2 linked regions of the Notamacropus eugenii genome follow. The main gene of each other region encodes a partner of the protein of the gene in region 2 in a complex. Links are inferred from orthologs where the notes say so. Each region holds a gene or a part of one and is shown on either strand. Other genes may lie near its edges.

Evidence for each region.
Region 1: LAMTOR4 (region 2) and LAMTOR3 share a complex: the UniProt entries of both Homo sapiens proteins name them as parts of the ragulator complex. The link is inferred for Notamacropus eugenii from reciprocal best matches to the Homo sapiens genes LAMTOR4 and LAMTOR3.

Annotation. Positions count from the first base shown.
Region 1 is NC_092878.1:137,825,683-137,833,736, reverse strand, and holds the start of LAMTOR3 (ragulator complex protein LAMTOR3), read left to right. Parts: upstream 1-4,882; 5' UTR 4,883-4,976; coding exon 4,977-5,024; intron 5,025-6,103; coding exon 6,104-6,138; intron 6,139-8,054. UniProt on the Homo sapiens protein: As part of the Ragulator complex it is involved in amino acid sensing and activation of mTORC1, a signaling complex promoting cell growth in response to growth factors, energy levels, and amino acids.
Region 2 is NC_092873.1:80,612,416-80,619,982, reverse strand, and holds the start of LAMTOR4 (ragulator complex protein LAMTOR4), read left to right. Parts: upstream 1-4,464; 5' UTR 4,465-5,032; coding exon 5,033-5,035; intron 5,036-6,952; coding exon 6,953-7,033; intron 7,034-7,567. UniProt on the Homo sapiens protein: As part of the Ragulator complex it is involved in amino acid sensing and activation of mTORC1, a signaling complex promoting cell growth in response to growth factors, energy levels, and amino acids.

The sequences.
Region 1 (8,054 bases), on a different chromosome or scaffold from region 2:
CCAGCACTGGGGGCTGAGATTCAGATGAACTGCTCCAAACCCTGAGGGACTTTAGGCCGGGGGTGGGGGGGGGGGTGGGGGGGAGGGGTGGGGGTGGGGGGGTGGGGGGGGTGGGGGATGGAGGGGGGGGTGCCTAAAGATTGAGATCAGCTGTGTGAGATTAAGATGACCTGCTCAGGTGGGGGCAGGCCCACCATACAGGGCTCAGTTCCCTCAGGGGGTTTATGATGAGACCTTCAACAATGGGTTCAGGCTACTGCCTGCTTTGGGAGCCTTGTCCGCTGCTGCCTCTACTGCTGCCTCCTGAGGAGGCCCGAGTTATGGGGACACCCTGCTCCCTTCTTGGCCAGCAGAAAAGATGCACTCACTGACCTTTGGAGCCTGTGTGTTGAGGGATCTGTGCTGCCACTGAAGATTCTGTCCCTGAAGCCTGCTTGGATCTGCTCCTCTTGGTGCCCACGTGGCCAAGGCTGGGCTGGGCTCTGCTCTGCATCCTGTGTGCGACAGACCTTTCCCATTGATCTTTCAGGTCACTCTGGGATAGAAATCTCCTCCACTCCATTGTTCTGTGGCTTCTGCTGCTCTAGAATTTGTTGAGAGTTCTTCTTTACAGGTATTTTATGGGCTGTGTGGTAAGAGCTAGCATATGTGTGTCTTTCTACTCCACCATCTTGGCTCTGCCCCCCAAACTTACTATTTATTGAGAAGAAAACAGGAGTGGTAGAGGACATTTCAGGTATGTGGGATAATACTTGTCAAGTAAGAGAGAAGCTGTTAAAACTTCAAAACTTAAGCCATAAAGAAAATCTGAATGCAATCCACAAATCAGTTGCATAATAGGTCAAAGCAAAGAAACAGTATTATTGCAGTGGTAAGAGCACTTGGTTTGGAGTCACAGTCCTGGTTTTGCCACTTCTTACATGACCTCTGACAAGTCACAACCCGTCTGGACCTCAGTTTCCTCATCTACAAAATGAGATTGATTCAGATGATCTGTAAGATTCCTTCCAATTCTGAATCCATCAATCTTTTGATCCTGCAAGATAAAAACAAAGATGAGAAATGAATGTTCCTGATCTTCATCGAACTTACAGTCGAAAATGGAGATTAAACATTTGCAAGTTAGAAAATGACAGTGCACTGGGAAAGTCAAAGATGTGACCCGAGAGAATCAAGGAAGGAGAGAGGCCTACTAAGGGAAGGAATCATGGAGGATGTCCTAATATGTCACCTTAGGATTTTAAGAAGATTGGTGGAGAATCACCACCAGAATGTGGTGGTACGGAGAAAGCATTGAATTTGGAGTCAGAGATAGAAATTGTACTGGCTATTCCTTACCTAGGTGACAGTAGGCATTTCCGACCGTGGTACCTTGGGAAAAGTGATGTATTTTAAGTCTGAGAAGCAGGCTTAGAATCTCAGTGCTGTCACTTAATGCTTGTATGACCTTTTGTGTAGCAAAGCACTGTTTGAAATCAAAGGGCAATAATTAGCAATAGGTATTAATAAGACTTTTTGTAGAGAGTGGTCCTTGACTTGGGTGTTAAAGGATGAAGAGGTAATCAATAGTCACAGTGTACAGGCAAAGTCAAAAACTGTCTGAGAGATTCAAGGAGGGAAGGGGCCTTCCAAGAGAGGCCAGAAAGGAAGGGACCATGGTGGATACCTATTATGTCAACTCAACTCAGTGGTTAGAGAGAGCACTGTAACTTCCTTAGTTCTCAGTTTCTAGCGATAAGGTGAGGGTTGGACTATATGGTCTGTAAGGAAGGTCTCTTCTGTCTCTAAGCCTATGGTTTATCATTTCTGCACAGCTCCTGAACAAGATTTTCAGCTACCTAGAGGGAATGTTTACCTACTTGTCCCACCAATATCCCAAACTCAGCATGTCCACAAGTTCTGGTTCCTACTAAGACTGTGTATGACCTTCTGTACCTCCCTTGACATAAGGCAAGAAAGTAAAGATTGGGATCAAACTGTACAGTTGGTGTTATTATGGACATGTTTGAGCAGAAAAATGACCTAGGCATCGGATGATAGATGGTGTGGAGCTGGGGGAGAATGGAAACGGAAATTAATTAGGAGTCTAAAAGATCCAGAAACTCAAAACCTGAATTATTCTCTACAGTATAGCAGAAAGAAATGTACTTACTCTGCCACTAATCCCTCCTACAGAAAGGCTATTACTGATACCCTCTTCTTGAAGAAGTATCTTGGGTTCCACAGGTTCAAGGTCTTTTCCTTTGAAAACAAGCAAAGCAAAACACAGCAAGCCTTTGTGAAGCATAAAATCCAATTCAAACTGCTTTAATAATTGAAAAGTAAAAGCACATAATAGGTGAGTAAGAAGGGTATCAGAGACAACTCTCCTGAAGACACTAAATCAGGAAATGAAAAAAGCCACCAACAGGCAGTCTGACCTCCAGAAAAGCATTAATGACAACCTTCCCTTCTTTCCCCTCCCAGTGTGTAAAACACCTCCAAGGTGGGGCAGGAAAGAGGACCAGCTGTGGCTACAATAGGAATCCATCCAAGCTCTTATTACATACTTTCAAAATATATTTTAAGTCTATTTTTATCTCTACCTTTTGTCTCCCTCACAGAACATAAGGCCCTTGAAGTCAGGCAGTTTCCTTTATTTTTCTTTTAAATATGTGAAGCCCAAGCATCTACTTAAAAGTACCAAAATAGATTCACCTTATCAGCTGACTGCTTGATCATGTGACCTTGGACAAGTCACTGAACCTCTCTGGGCCTCACTTTTGGCATTTATACAAGAAGAGGGCTGGGCTCCATGGCCCTACAGTTCCTTTTAGCTCTAGTCTAGGCTTCTTAATCTGAAGTACCTGAATTAAAAAAAAATGTTCCCGAAAACTCACTTTCAACATTTAATTCAACAAACATTTATCAAGCACAAAATTATGTGCCAAGCACTGGAGACACAAAAAGAAGCAGAAGACAATATCTGCCCTCAAGGAGTTTATAATCTAATGGAGGAGACAGTATGCAAACAAATACAGAGCAACCTATATGATTTAATTCCATGAACATTTATTAATTACCTGTCATGTGCCAGGAATACTGCGAAGCACTGGGGATACAAAAAGGGGCAAAAGACCGTCCCTATCCTCAAGAAACACAATCAAATGGAGATACCACTCAAATATATATGTATATACACACATATATGCATATTTGCACATATACTTGCACACATATATACACATAAATACATGCATGTATGCACACCACACATTTGTGCACATACACGCACACACAAACACAGGTATGTATACACAGTGTGCACATACTTGCATACATGCACACATATAAACATGTGTGCACGCATACATTTGCACAATGAATATATACACATAAACACATGCATGTGTATACACACGTGCACAGATACATATACATGCATGCACACACGAACACATATGTACACACTAGACACATGTGCATGCATATAAGCATGTATATACACACATACATTTACATAATGCATATATACCATACATATAAACGCACATGCACATACACATACATATTTGCACACATACATATACGCATGCATACAAACACATGTATGCATATACATACACACATACATATATTTGCACAATACATATATACACACATATATGCATATATACATATAGATTTGCACACACATGCACAAACACATGTATGTATACACACTATATACACATATGCGTGCATATAAACATGTATGTGTGCGAGCACACATATATGCACAGTACATATATACACACATATAAACACATGTATGCATATACACTATATGCACACATATTTGCACAATATATGCATGCACATAAACACACATGTATATACATACATATACTTACACAATACCTATACACACATACATATAAACACACGTATATACACACATACATATATACACATACTTATAAACACATGTGTATATGTATATACACATGCACATATGTGCACACATGCATATATACACACCTGCATATATATATACATACACACATTATACATATATGTATACATCAGCCTCCATGCAGGATAAGAAATGAAAGAGGGAAAGCTTTCCCTAGTCATCTCATGAATATTTTATGCATTAAAAACATGACTCTGACAGGGGTCCAAGGCTTTCCCAGATGGTACATGATGGAAAAAAAAAAGTGAAGGTCGAGGATGCTTCCAATTGGACATCTAAGGCGTGGTTTTCCTGACGCGCCCCTTGGCATCCAGCCAGAGGGACTGCAACATTTTAGCAAACTCCTTCAATGTCCCTCCCTGGATGAGTAGGAAAGAGACAGGCGCATGCGCCGCATTCTGCTGAGAGGTGGGAAGAGTAGGGAGAAAGGACGAAGGGGGCGCATGCGCAGAACTCCGGGGCGGGCTGAGGAGCGCAAGGGGCGGGTCTGGCGCATGCGCAGGACTCCGCGGGTGGAGGAGGGGAAGAAGAAGGGGGCAGGCCTTTTTTCGTGGCAGGTCCCCGCGGGCAGCGGGGCCAAGGAAGCCGCTTCCGGTGTCCTTACCCCTTTCCCCGGAAGCAGTGTGTCACGGGGCCAGGGCTCCGACCGAGCTTCCTGAGAGAGCGATAATCATGTGACCGCGGGTTCCAGAGGAAGCGGCTGAGGCGGTCGGAGCTACCTGCGGCGGCCCCGGCAGCCTGAGCCAGGTAGGCCTCGCGGCCTGACGGCGGGGAGGGGCGGCCGCTCTGGGATGGGGGCGGGGAGGCGATCCCGGGCCCGCCCCGCTTCACTGGGTGTTTCTCTTTCAGGTGCGGGGAGCGTCCCGGCGGGAGGAAGGGGCTCATCATGGCGGATGTGAGTGAGACCACCCCCCCCCAGCTGGGGGAGGGCCGCGCGGGGGAGGGAGGCGGGGGACGGAGCCTGGGAGGGGTGACCTCCCCGCCGCAGGGACGCCCGGGGCCTCCGCCCTGCGGGCCGTGGGGCACGTCCCCTTCCCCTGGGATGGTGCCCCTGAGCCGGGCCCATAGTCGGTGCTCCATAAGTGCCCAGGTGCGTACAGCAGGCGCTTTACAAAGGTCCGTTCCTGTCCCCGGCCCGGGGCTCCCGGCGCCCCCGCACCCCCGCACCCCGCCGTGCCTTGGCGCAGCTCAGATCCTCTTTAACCGCAGGAAGCCCCCGCCGCCCGACAGCACCGGGCAGTGACTTATGTAGCCCGGTGGTCGGTCCGACAGGCGCCGGGGACAGAAAAAGAAGGCGTGTGTCCTGTTGGATTGGAGCCGGAGTGGTCGCCGTAGGGTCCCTTGGAGCTGGGCAGGGTCAGATGAGGCCATGCGAAGGTGTGCTGGACTTGGGGCCGGGGCAGGGAGGTGGCGTGGAGCCAGGCAGACTCACCTAGCCGAGCTCCAGTCCAGCCTCAGGTGCTTGTGGGCCGGGGGACCCCGGACAAGGCACTTCACCCTGTCCGCCTCAGTTTCCTCGTCTGGAACATGAGCTGGAGAAGGAAATGGGAAGCCACCCCACTATCCCTGCCAAGAAAACCCAAACAGGGTCATGGAGAGTCAGAGGGCACTGAACACCAGCACACCTTGGGCCTGGCCTTGGCTGGCTCTGAGTCAGCAAGTTTCTTAACTTCTTTATATTTCAGTTTCATCAAAAAAATGGCAGTGATAATAACTTCCAACACATAGGAGAGCTTTCTTGAGATTTGACCTGGAAGGTCCCTCCATCATGAATGATTTGTATACATGTAAACTATTGGTTTTTCCCTCTGGGTGGATATGATTGTAAACTTGAAGGTCAGGACCTTGTATTTCCCACAGCACTCTGCTTTTATGAGGTGTTTTATGATGAGGGATAGCAGCTTTAGGACAAAGCTGGTGAACTGGGTTCAGGAATTGTTGAGGCTTGTGGGAAGGATAAGAATAGGTTTGAACTAGGAATTGTTCAGGCCTGTGGGAAGTTCAAGAATGGGGTTTGAATTGAAACTTGCTTTAGGAAATTTAGGGACTCTGGTGAGGGAAGTTATGAAATACCATTCACTCAGATTTGAGGAACTCCCTAAGTGTTTGAAACTGTATTTTCCCCTTGTGACATCTTGTTACAACGTGACTTTATATCTCCTTTTCTAGGATTTGAAGAGATTCCTCTACAAAAAGTTACCAAGGTAAAGGATCAGTAGTGTCACCCTGAATTCTGAATCATAAAGTCTCACTTTGTTGCCACCTTAAAATAAAAACACCGCAACATTCGTTTCACTTTTAGATTCACTCTAAGGTAAAGCTTTTATACTGTGCTTGGAAAGGAAATGAAATTGACACACAGAAAAGACAGGAAAAGTATGATTCTGCTTGCAGATGTGCATGTTTTTCATTCTCATCATGGCCTTTGCTTCATATTTATGACATTTTTTTGTGCCATGCCAGCTTATTTCTCTTGTGGTGTTAGATGTAGTATTTATCAACTGAGCCTTTCTGCTTTTGCTAGGGAAGTTCGTCTGAGGTGTTCTACTAATGAGAAAGATTTGGATTTCTTTTATACTTTAAATTCAAATACAGTTTACCTATGCGCACATTTTTAAAAATAGGAAATAGAGACTGGAGCTGTTATGTGACATAGGAATTCCCAGACAAGGAAGCTCCCTTTACTAATGCAACTTCAGAAAGTTCCTGAGAGTTAGGACTGAGCTATCTGGTAACTAGATCTGTCTAGCTGTCTATCAGATCTACTGGATCCTGAGAGATAGGGAAGGAGAAAATGCCATGAGACATCACTTAACCCATTATGTGAAAATATTACATATAATTAAATTCTGACTTTATTCTTATACCACACATCATGGAAAAATTCTCTGGGTTGAAAAAACTTAAATGGTCAAAGGGGTCACAAGGGAATATCATAGTACCGCTTGATGGTGCAGTGGTCTGGGCTCAGGAATACTCATCTTCCTGAATTCAAATCCTGCCTCAGACATGTACAAGCTGTGTGATCCTGGTCAAGTCACTCACCCTGTTTGCCTCAGTTTCCTCATCTGTAAGATGAGCTGGAAAAGGAAATGACAAACCATCCAGTGTCTCTGCCAAGAAAACCCCAAATGGGGTCACAAAGGGTTGGGCAGGACCAAATAGCAGCAATGGAAATATCAGCATTTCTTCTAGGAAACAAACTGGCTGAGTCATCAATAAGGAGACTACGTTTTCTGCCTTCTGCCCTGTGCAATTTTGTCTAAGCCTCTTGCTCATATAGAAAACAGTAGTGCTCATTAACTGAGTTCTGTCCACTGTGTATGGATATAAAGGTAGAAGCTTCTAAGTTGCTTATTGTTACTGGACTGTAGTTAAGGGTTTTCTGTTGAAACATCTTTAATTAAAATCTTTCTAAAGACCTGATTTCCTATATATATATGTGTGTATATATATATATATATATATATATATATATATATATATATATATATATATATATATATATATATACATATATATGTATATATATATATATGTATGTATATTTATATGTGTGTACATATGTATACACATATATACACATGTGTGTGTGTGAGAGACTAAAATTTCTAAACATATCTCAGCTTCAGTTTCTTAAATTGTAAAAATGGGATAATAATAGCGCACACACATATTCCCTTCTGGCCCCCTTCCCCCTGGAGATATTTGCAAAACAGCACCAGAGTGCCTAACAGTAGGTCAGTTAAATAAATGTGTTTGTTCCCTCCTCTGTTAACCTTTAGGTATGGCATGTACATCAAATTGTAGTCATAGTGGTGATGATTTTATGCCTTAGCCTTCCTTGTGACTGGTCTAATTTAAGACTATTTTAATGCAACAGATCATAGTTGTGACAACAGGGTCACTTGAAAGCTAAACCTTGGACATGATAAAATTAACATTGAGTTAACAAGGCACAAACATCACCAGGGTGTTGAAATTTGAATTGTTTATACAATTTCAAAATGTAAATAACTGGTGGTTTCCAAATTATAAAATTTTCTTAAGCAATTGATCACTAGCTTAGGTTTTATTATAAATCTGTCAAATGTGGTCTTCTCTAGTTTGGAGTGGGAAG
Region 2 (7,567 bases):
ATCCCAAAGGATATGGATGAGACTGGTATTACTGTGGCCAGTCTTCCAGTACATATACTTCAGCAGAGAAGGATGATAATAAATTGAGTGAAATTTTAGGAAATGGGGCAAAATGGAAAACAAAGTGATTTGGAAGAAAATAATGAAGAACAGGACAATGGAGTTATTGGTGCTATTTCTATTGATGAAAACCTTTTTAATGGAGAGGATTTGGATGAACAGGAAGAGGAATTAAACACACTTGATTTAAAGGAATGACAACAAGCAAGTCAGATAAAAAAACTGTCGGCTCAACATAAATTGAAATTGACTACATTATTTGTTTTCTCCTTTCTAGAATTCTTAAATAGGACCTTTTTGGTTTCTCACACTGATTTTGGGAGGGTACCCTTTCCTCAAAAAAAGAAAAAAAAAGGAGTATTCATTTCTATCACCTCTATTCTGACCCTGACTACACCACATAGTAAGTTTAGAGCAGGTCATATAATACAATGAAATATGAAGGTCATTACAGAAAAGATTTTGTAAATAATTGAAACAGGAAGTATAACTGCTTTTTCCCAATTTTTGAGTTTCATTGGACGTGTTATTACCCAGTACAACAAACATTTTGAAAATATCACTCATTTAAGCTTCATCTTTTAATGAGTGATTTGATTTACTTTGTATTTATCTTTAAAAAGACTTCTTAAAATAAAAGCACTGTACTTCATAAATAGACTACTTATGCAGATTAAGTATTGTGTTTCTTTGAATACTTAATTAGATGGACATTAAAGATGCAGTTTCTTTAAACTAACAGCATCATCTGGAATGCCTTCTTTCCTGTTTTAAATTTTCCGTCTGCCTTTTTTATTTTGTTTGCTAACAAAGTTGTAAATAAAGATCATCAAGTGTTAAAACAAATAAACTACTGGAGTGATTAGCCATTTTCTTCTCCAGTGCTCCAATGCTCTGGCATTGATGCTGTATCTTTGACAAGGTATGAACTCTTTTTGTCCATGTTGACCCTATTTACACTGTATTAATGATTATTGATTGATGATTCACAGCTAGTTTTTATGCCCAACATACCCCTTGGGTTTGTCTCTTAAAAGACACTTGGAAAAGATGGGGACAACTATGGCAGAATGCAGCATATATTTTACTGTGTTGAGATGTTTTTGCTTAACTGTTCAATTCTAGGGTGGGGGATATATATCTTGCAATGACTTTGATTTAAAAACAAAAGGTATCCATGAAACTTTTTTTAAAAAAAGAATACCTCCCCCTTTAAAAAAAAAAGAATAAAAGGGTGCTACACAGAGACTCCAGAGACTAGAAACTGAGGTCACACAGACCAGTGAGGCAAAGAAGTACAGTAGAATCTTGGTTTACAAATTTAATTCATTTCCAGATTCTGTTCATCATGTGATTTGTTTGTATTGCAAAGTGAATTTTCCCATAGGAAATAATGTACAGTCATGTCCCGGCCTAATTGCTGTGGGCTGCCCGAGTCTTCTTACCTTAGTCCAGGTATTTGGTGGCTAGCTGGATAAACGTATCGAGAGAAGAGACTTTCCAGAGTCAAACAAGGATTAGGCTTTATTCAGGATCTTGGTTACATGTCCATATGCAGGCGAGTTCTTCCCCAGGAGAAAGGAACCCCCCTCTTCCTCAAGGAGCAAGGATCACACAGCGAGAGGACGGGGGTGGAAGAAGGGAGGGACCCCTGGGAGGGACCCCCCCTCAGGCTTTCCCCGTCCCCACTTAAGCTCTCCCAGCTGCATACTCCACACATGGATACCGTGCATGCTCTCAGCCCCTAGCTAATCAACAAAAAGGTGTGCTCAGACCATGGACCAATTTCAAGGGTGCGATGCTCTCCCCAGCAAGTTTCCACTGAGAAGAGGTGGAGAAACAAGAAAGCTCGAGTCTCACTCCTCAATTCCCAGCTGTTCCCTGGGGAGCCTCATGAGAGCTCGCAATCAAGAAGGCCTCATTTTTACCTGCCCAAAACCATTCACGTGAGAACTGAGCTTACACCCCAACACAGTCAGATGATCAGTACCACAGCCCCAAAAATAGTCATATAAAAATAACTATTTTTAATTTTAAGTAATTTTTTTTTGTCCCTAATGCTCCTGAACTACAACAGCAATGATTAGTACACAATATAAACTGAAAAGAAAACAAATTAGCCTGCACTTTATCTTGGAGAAGAGTTGTGGCTGTCGAGAGGGCCACGAGAGGGAGGAAGGATTATTGCTTGGAAGGAGAGACACTGAGGATTTCAACGTCCAAAGAGTTCTCTCTTATGCTACTTTCACTAAAAAGTAAGACTAACACTACTGCCTTCACTTATTTTTCATTTTTTAGAATCACTTTCATGTTTTGACTCACTGATTTTTTTTTACATTCACTTCTGACTAGGAATATATCTAGACAATTGTTTTTGACATCTTTTAAGTAATTTATTTATTTTCAGTTTTCAACAGTCACTTCCATAAGTTTTAAGTTTTCTTCCCCTCCCTCTCTCCTCCCTTCCCAAGAGGGCATGCAATCTTATATAGGAAAAAACCCTAGTTGAGTGTCATCCCTTCTGGAGTCGTTCAAGTCCAAGTATGATGTTCATTCATACTATGAATTTCTGTTCATCCTGCAAGACAAATTTTGCAAAAAATTTTTCCTCGTCCACTGAAGCATAAGTAAACTAGGTTACTAGTAAACTGAGATTCTACTGTATACAGATTCCTTTCCTGGGAGGAAGATCTGCAAAATCCATGTAGCCTCTCCAAGAAACCATGTGAGGCCTCCAGGAAACATTATGTTCACGCCTGATAAAGAGGACAAAGCAGTAGAATTCTTGGATCACACCTAGACCAGGGGTTCTTAATTTGGGATCCATAAATTTGTTTAAATTTTTTTTTTGGTAACTATACTTCATTATAATTTATTGTCTTTGTAATCCTATGTATTTCATTTTGTGCATTAAAAAATATTATTCTGAAGAGTCCACAGGCTTCACCAGATTGTCAGACACAAAATGACACACACGTAAAAAATCTGTGCAAAAAAGGTTAAGAATTGCTGGTCCAGATCAAGCAGAGGCATTCCTGAATAGGAGAATTCCTGGACCATGCCAATTTTCTGGATCAAGTAGAATTCCAGGATCACAGAGAAGTTCTTTGAACAAGCAGGAACCTCATCCCCGGATCAGCAAGGGATGGAGACACAGTGAAGGAGACACCTAGATCACCTTCTTCACTGGTAATGTGAGTTATGTGGACTGTGCAGGTCTTGTAGAAATATAGTAGCTTCCCCAACCTGCTAAATGAAGAAGCCCTAGGGAAGACTTGCAACTGTGACTGAACCCCCCTTTTGCTACTGATACGGAGTCAAAATATCAACTAAATACTAGTTCCCTAGGCATTCCCCCTCCCTTCCCTAGAAGGATCAGTACTTACACCCCAAGTCTGAGCTCCCTGCTTCCTTGTTTTTCTCCCTCAACTTGTAAAAGATTTTATTTTTTAAATTTATTTTTCGTTACATTTTAAGTTTCAAATTGTCTCCCTCCCCCCCCCCCCCACCTTGCACTAGAAGGCCACCATTTGACAAAGAAAAAATCTCTATCTCTATGTCTTTACATATACACACACATATGTAAAATTGTACTGTGTATACTTCTATTTATCAGTTCTTTCTATGGAGGTGGATAGCCTCTACCTCCATGGGTCCTTTGTAGTTGATTTGAAGATTTGTAATACTCAGAATGGATTAGTCTACTCATTCACAGTTATTCTTCAAACAATATTGCTGCTATTGTATACAGAGCTCTCCTGGTTCTGCTCATTTCACTTTTCATTATTTCATGCAAGTCTTTCCATGTTTTTCTAAAATGAACCTGCCATCACTTCTTACAGCACAGTAGTATTCCACAAGCTCCCTGCTTCTTGCCCCCAATGTCTGTTCCTATTTGACAGTGATGACAAACCTATAAAAACCCAGCCTGCTTCACCTGTATGGGCCACTTGACTCCCCCAGGACCCAAGGGCCTGTCCTGTGTTCATCTTCTCTCATGATCCCTTTGTTTTGTATTTCCCCTCATTTACTAAAATTTACTCTTTTTTTTTTTCACTTTCTTTCTATCCTCTCCTGTCTTGTGCTAAATTTTGTATGGTGCCACTGCACCTCCCAGCCTCTCCAGGTCTCTTCCCTAGAAGCTTCAGCTATCATACAGAATAGTCACACTTCAATCTTAAGTCTTTGACTTAAGGAATGTAGAACACGAGAGACTCGCCGGCATGAAGACTGTGACTAGGGGTCCCGAAGAGACTAGACTGCCTCTTGGGTTTTTCGCCTGGCAACTATGTAGCAGATAAAAGAGACTGTAGCGGTGTCTGTGCTGCTAGTGCTCCAGACCAAAGAAATCGCACATTAATAAGAGTTGTGAGGGACGGAGCACTCAGTCACTACAGGCTGTCTATGGTCGGTGGTAAATAGAGGTGGCTGGGTGGCGCCCGGGGCAGCGCTGTCCTGCCCTGGAAAAGTCACTTAACCTCTGCATAAAACCACCTACTTTCCAGGGCAAATTAAGTTAATATATAAAAGTCCTCTGCAAGCCTTAATCCGTTCCTATAAGGGGGCTAGGGCTTTGTACAGTAAAGAGTAATCACCCTAAAGCCCTAAGCAGCCTCGAACCCCGATCTCTGGCTCCTCAGAGAACCCCGCCCGCTTTCCTCCCCTTCCCCAAGCCCAGCCAATCCTGCACAATATTGCGGGGGAGGAGGTGAGGGGGAGAAGGAGGAACGAAAAGAACGAGCTTGCGCGGCCAATCGCCGGCCTGGGGAGAGGGGGCGTGGAAGTAACGCGGATAGGTTGAGTTTTGAGTGGCGTGTCGATTGCCCAATCAACGAGTGGTGTGAATGGGGGCCCAAGTCCCTACGGAAAGGAATGGTGGGGAGTAGGGAGGCCACGTCCCGGCACGTGATATAGGTGACAACCCGGAAGCGACCCCACTTTTTGCCAGCTTTCTCCGCACCTACGGCTTGAGATGGTGAGAAAGCGATGGCGCATGCGCATTGGTTTCCCCTTCCTTTTCTTCTCTCTTTCTCCCCTTCTCCCCCTCCCCCCAGTGCAGCGCCCCATGCCCCCCCAACCGCCCTTCAAAGAGGTGGCCCCGGGGTGTCGGGCTTGGGGGAAGCGGAGGCGGCGGAGGATGCAGGGGCCTGGGAGTGGAGGGTGGTCGGGTCTGGTACAGCTTCGGAGGGGAAGAAAAGGGGCCGGGGAGGGGTCCCCAGGAATGGGGGAGGACGGCGTGGGGAGGTGGTGTCTCCCCTGGGAGCGATGGGAAGTGGGCTGTGATTTTAAAGGGAGGAGGAGGCCGAGGCGGCCAAGGGCCCGTAGGGATTCCAGGCTGTCCAGGGTTTCCTAGAACAGAAGCTCTTTGAGGACAGGACTTGAGACTTTGTCTTTTCAGTTCCTGGCACATAATCACCGCCTAATGAATAAATACTCGTTGGTTTGGAGACTGGGGAAGGGAGAGGGGGAAAGAAATCCCTTTATATTTCATGTGGATAGTTCTGTCCCTCCTCCTTCTCACCCTCTCCTGACTGCCTCTCCCTCCCCTCCAAGAAAGCTTCTTGAGGATGCAATATGTTTCCGTTTTGTCTTTGCTAGTAATGTGTCTAGCAGTCAATTTATCAACAAACATTAAGTAATTAAGGGCCTGCTTTTCCCCAGCTGCTGGGGATAGAAAAAGGAAACAGACCCTGCGCTCAAGGGACAGACTTTCTTTTGGGGAGGATAAAGTGACACATACATAGTAAATTAAATGTAGAATATAAGGAATTTCTAAAAGGGAAGGCCCTAGCCACTGGGGCAAACAGCATAGGTTTCTTGTAGGAGGTAGCGCTGGAATCGAGTTGTGAACAAAGCTGGTGTTCTATTAGGAGAGAGTTGTCAGAGGAGGCAGTGTTGTGCAGTGTGATGAATGCTGGACCTGGAGTCAAGACCTCCATTCAGTTACCCACATCTCCCAGGTTTCTTTCCATACCTTGGCTCAGTCTTTCTGGGCTTCATTTTCATAATTTGTAAAATGAGGGGGTTGCAAAATAAAGTGTCCAGCTCTAAATAGATGACCCTATGACCCCATGACTGCATTCTAAATAAAAGCCCTCAGACTTAGTTGAAAAGGTAAATGATGTGCAGTAATCTCAGAAAAGTAGGCTGGAGCCAGATTGTACAACTTTAAAGAACTAAGGGAGGAGTTTGCATTTTACTTCAGAGGGAAAAGGAAGCTGTTGGAGCTTCTGAGCAGAAGAGGGATGAGGTCAGATCTGTGCCATAGGACCATCAATTTGGCAACTTTATAGAAGATACATTGGAGAGGAGAGCCTTGAAGCAAGGAGATTAGAAAACTTAACTCATATAAGTGAATTAAATAAACTTTTGTTGTGGTTGAATTAGCACATCAAGGAGAGCGAAAGATTTGAGGTTGTGAGTTGAAAAGAAGGAACAGGAATCTGAGCATTTAGAACATGAAGGAAGGAAATAAGGCACTTGGGCACTGAGTAGAAAGAAAGTGTTGGGTATCACAGCATGGTGAAAAGCCAGCTGAACTGAAAATCAGGAGAGACTTCAAATTCCATCTCTGTCACTGTGAGCGGACCCTTAACTTTTCTTGATTCTGTTTTCTTATGTTTAAAATGGACATAGTAATTAACCTGTGGTAATTACTCTCTACAGGGTTGTTGTGAGGATCAAAGGTGCTTGCAGAACCCTACATAAATGTCAGCAATTATTGTTTGTCCTAGTCTAAAGTCTTGGCAAGATGGGGAGATGTGTAAGGAAAATAAGAGGTGTAGCATCAGCAGCAGGAGGAATAGAGGTTTGCAAGTAAACAGGAAAGATCTCAGTCTAGCTCTCTTTCCTCTGATTTTTCCCATCTCATAATTTACTGTGCTTCTTCTAGACATCTGCATTGACTCAGGGGCTGGAGCGTATCCCTGACCAGCTGGGCTACTTGGTACTGAGTGAAGGAGCCGTGCTGGCGGTAAGTCTTGGGGTGAAAAGTAGAAAGAAGATGACCTGATCCTTGATAGCTCCTTCGTGATTTATGACCTTTCCATTTATCTCTTCTTTCCTACAGCTTCTCCTAATTTGAAATATGTGCTGTAGTTTTATCCATAAAGCATAAATCCGTATCCTTAAGCTCCCATGGATTTAACTATTGTTTCTGTGCAGATGACTCCCAAATCTATTCATCTGTCTTGTATGCGTCTCCCATCACTAACTTCCTGTTAGAAATTCCCCCCTGCATAGTCTGTAGGAATCTCAAGCTCAGCAAGTCCAAAAAAAACTCATTATCTTTTGCCCTAAAATCTACAACTCTTCCTACTTCTCTGTCTCTGCCAAGGGAACTATTATTCTTCCATTTATCCCAGGTTCAGGACTTAGGAGACATCAGTGGATCTTTACTCACTCTCACCCATCATATCCAGTCAGTTGCCAAGCCTTGTCAATTCTTTGTCCTAAATATCTATCCCCTTGTCTCTACTTGCGCCACAACCACTGCAGCCCAACTTAC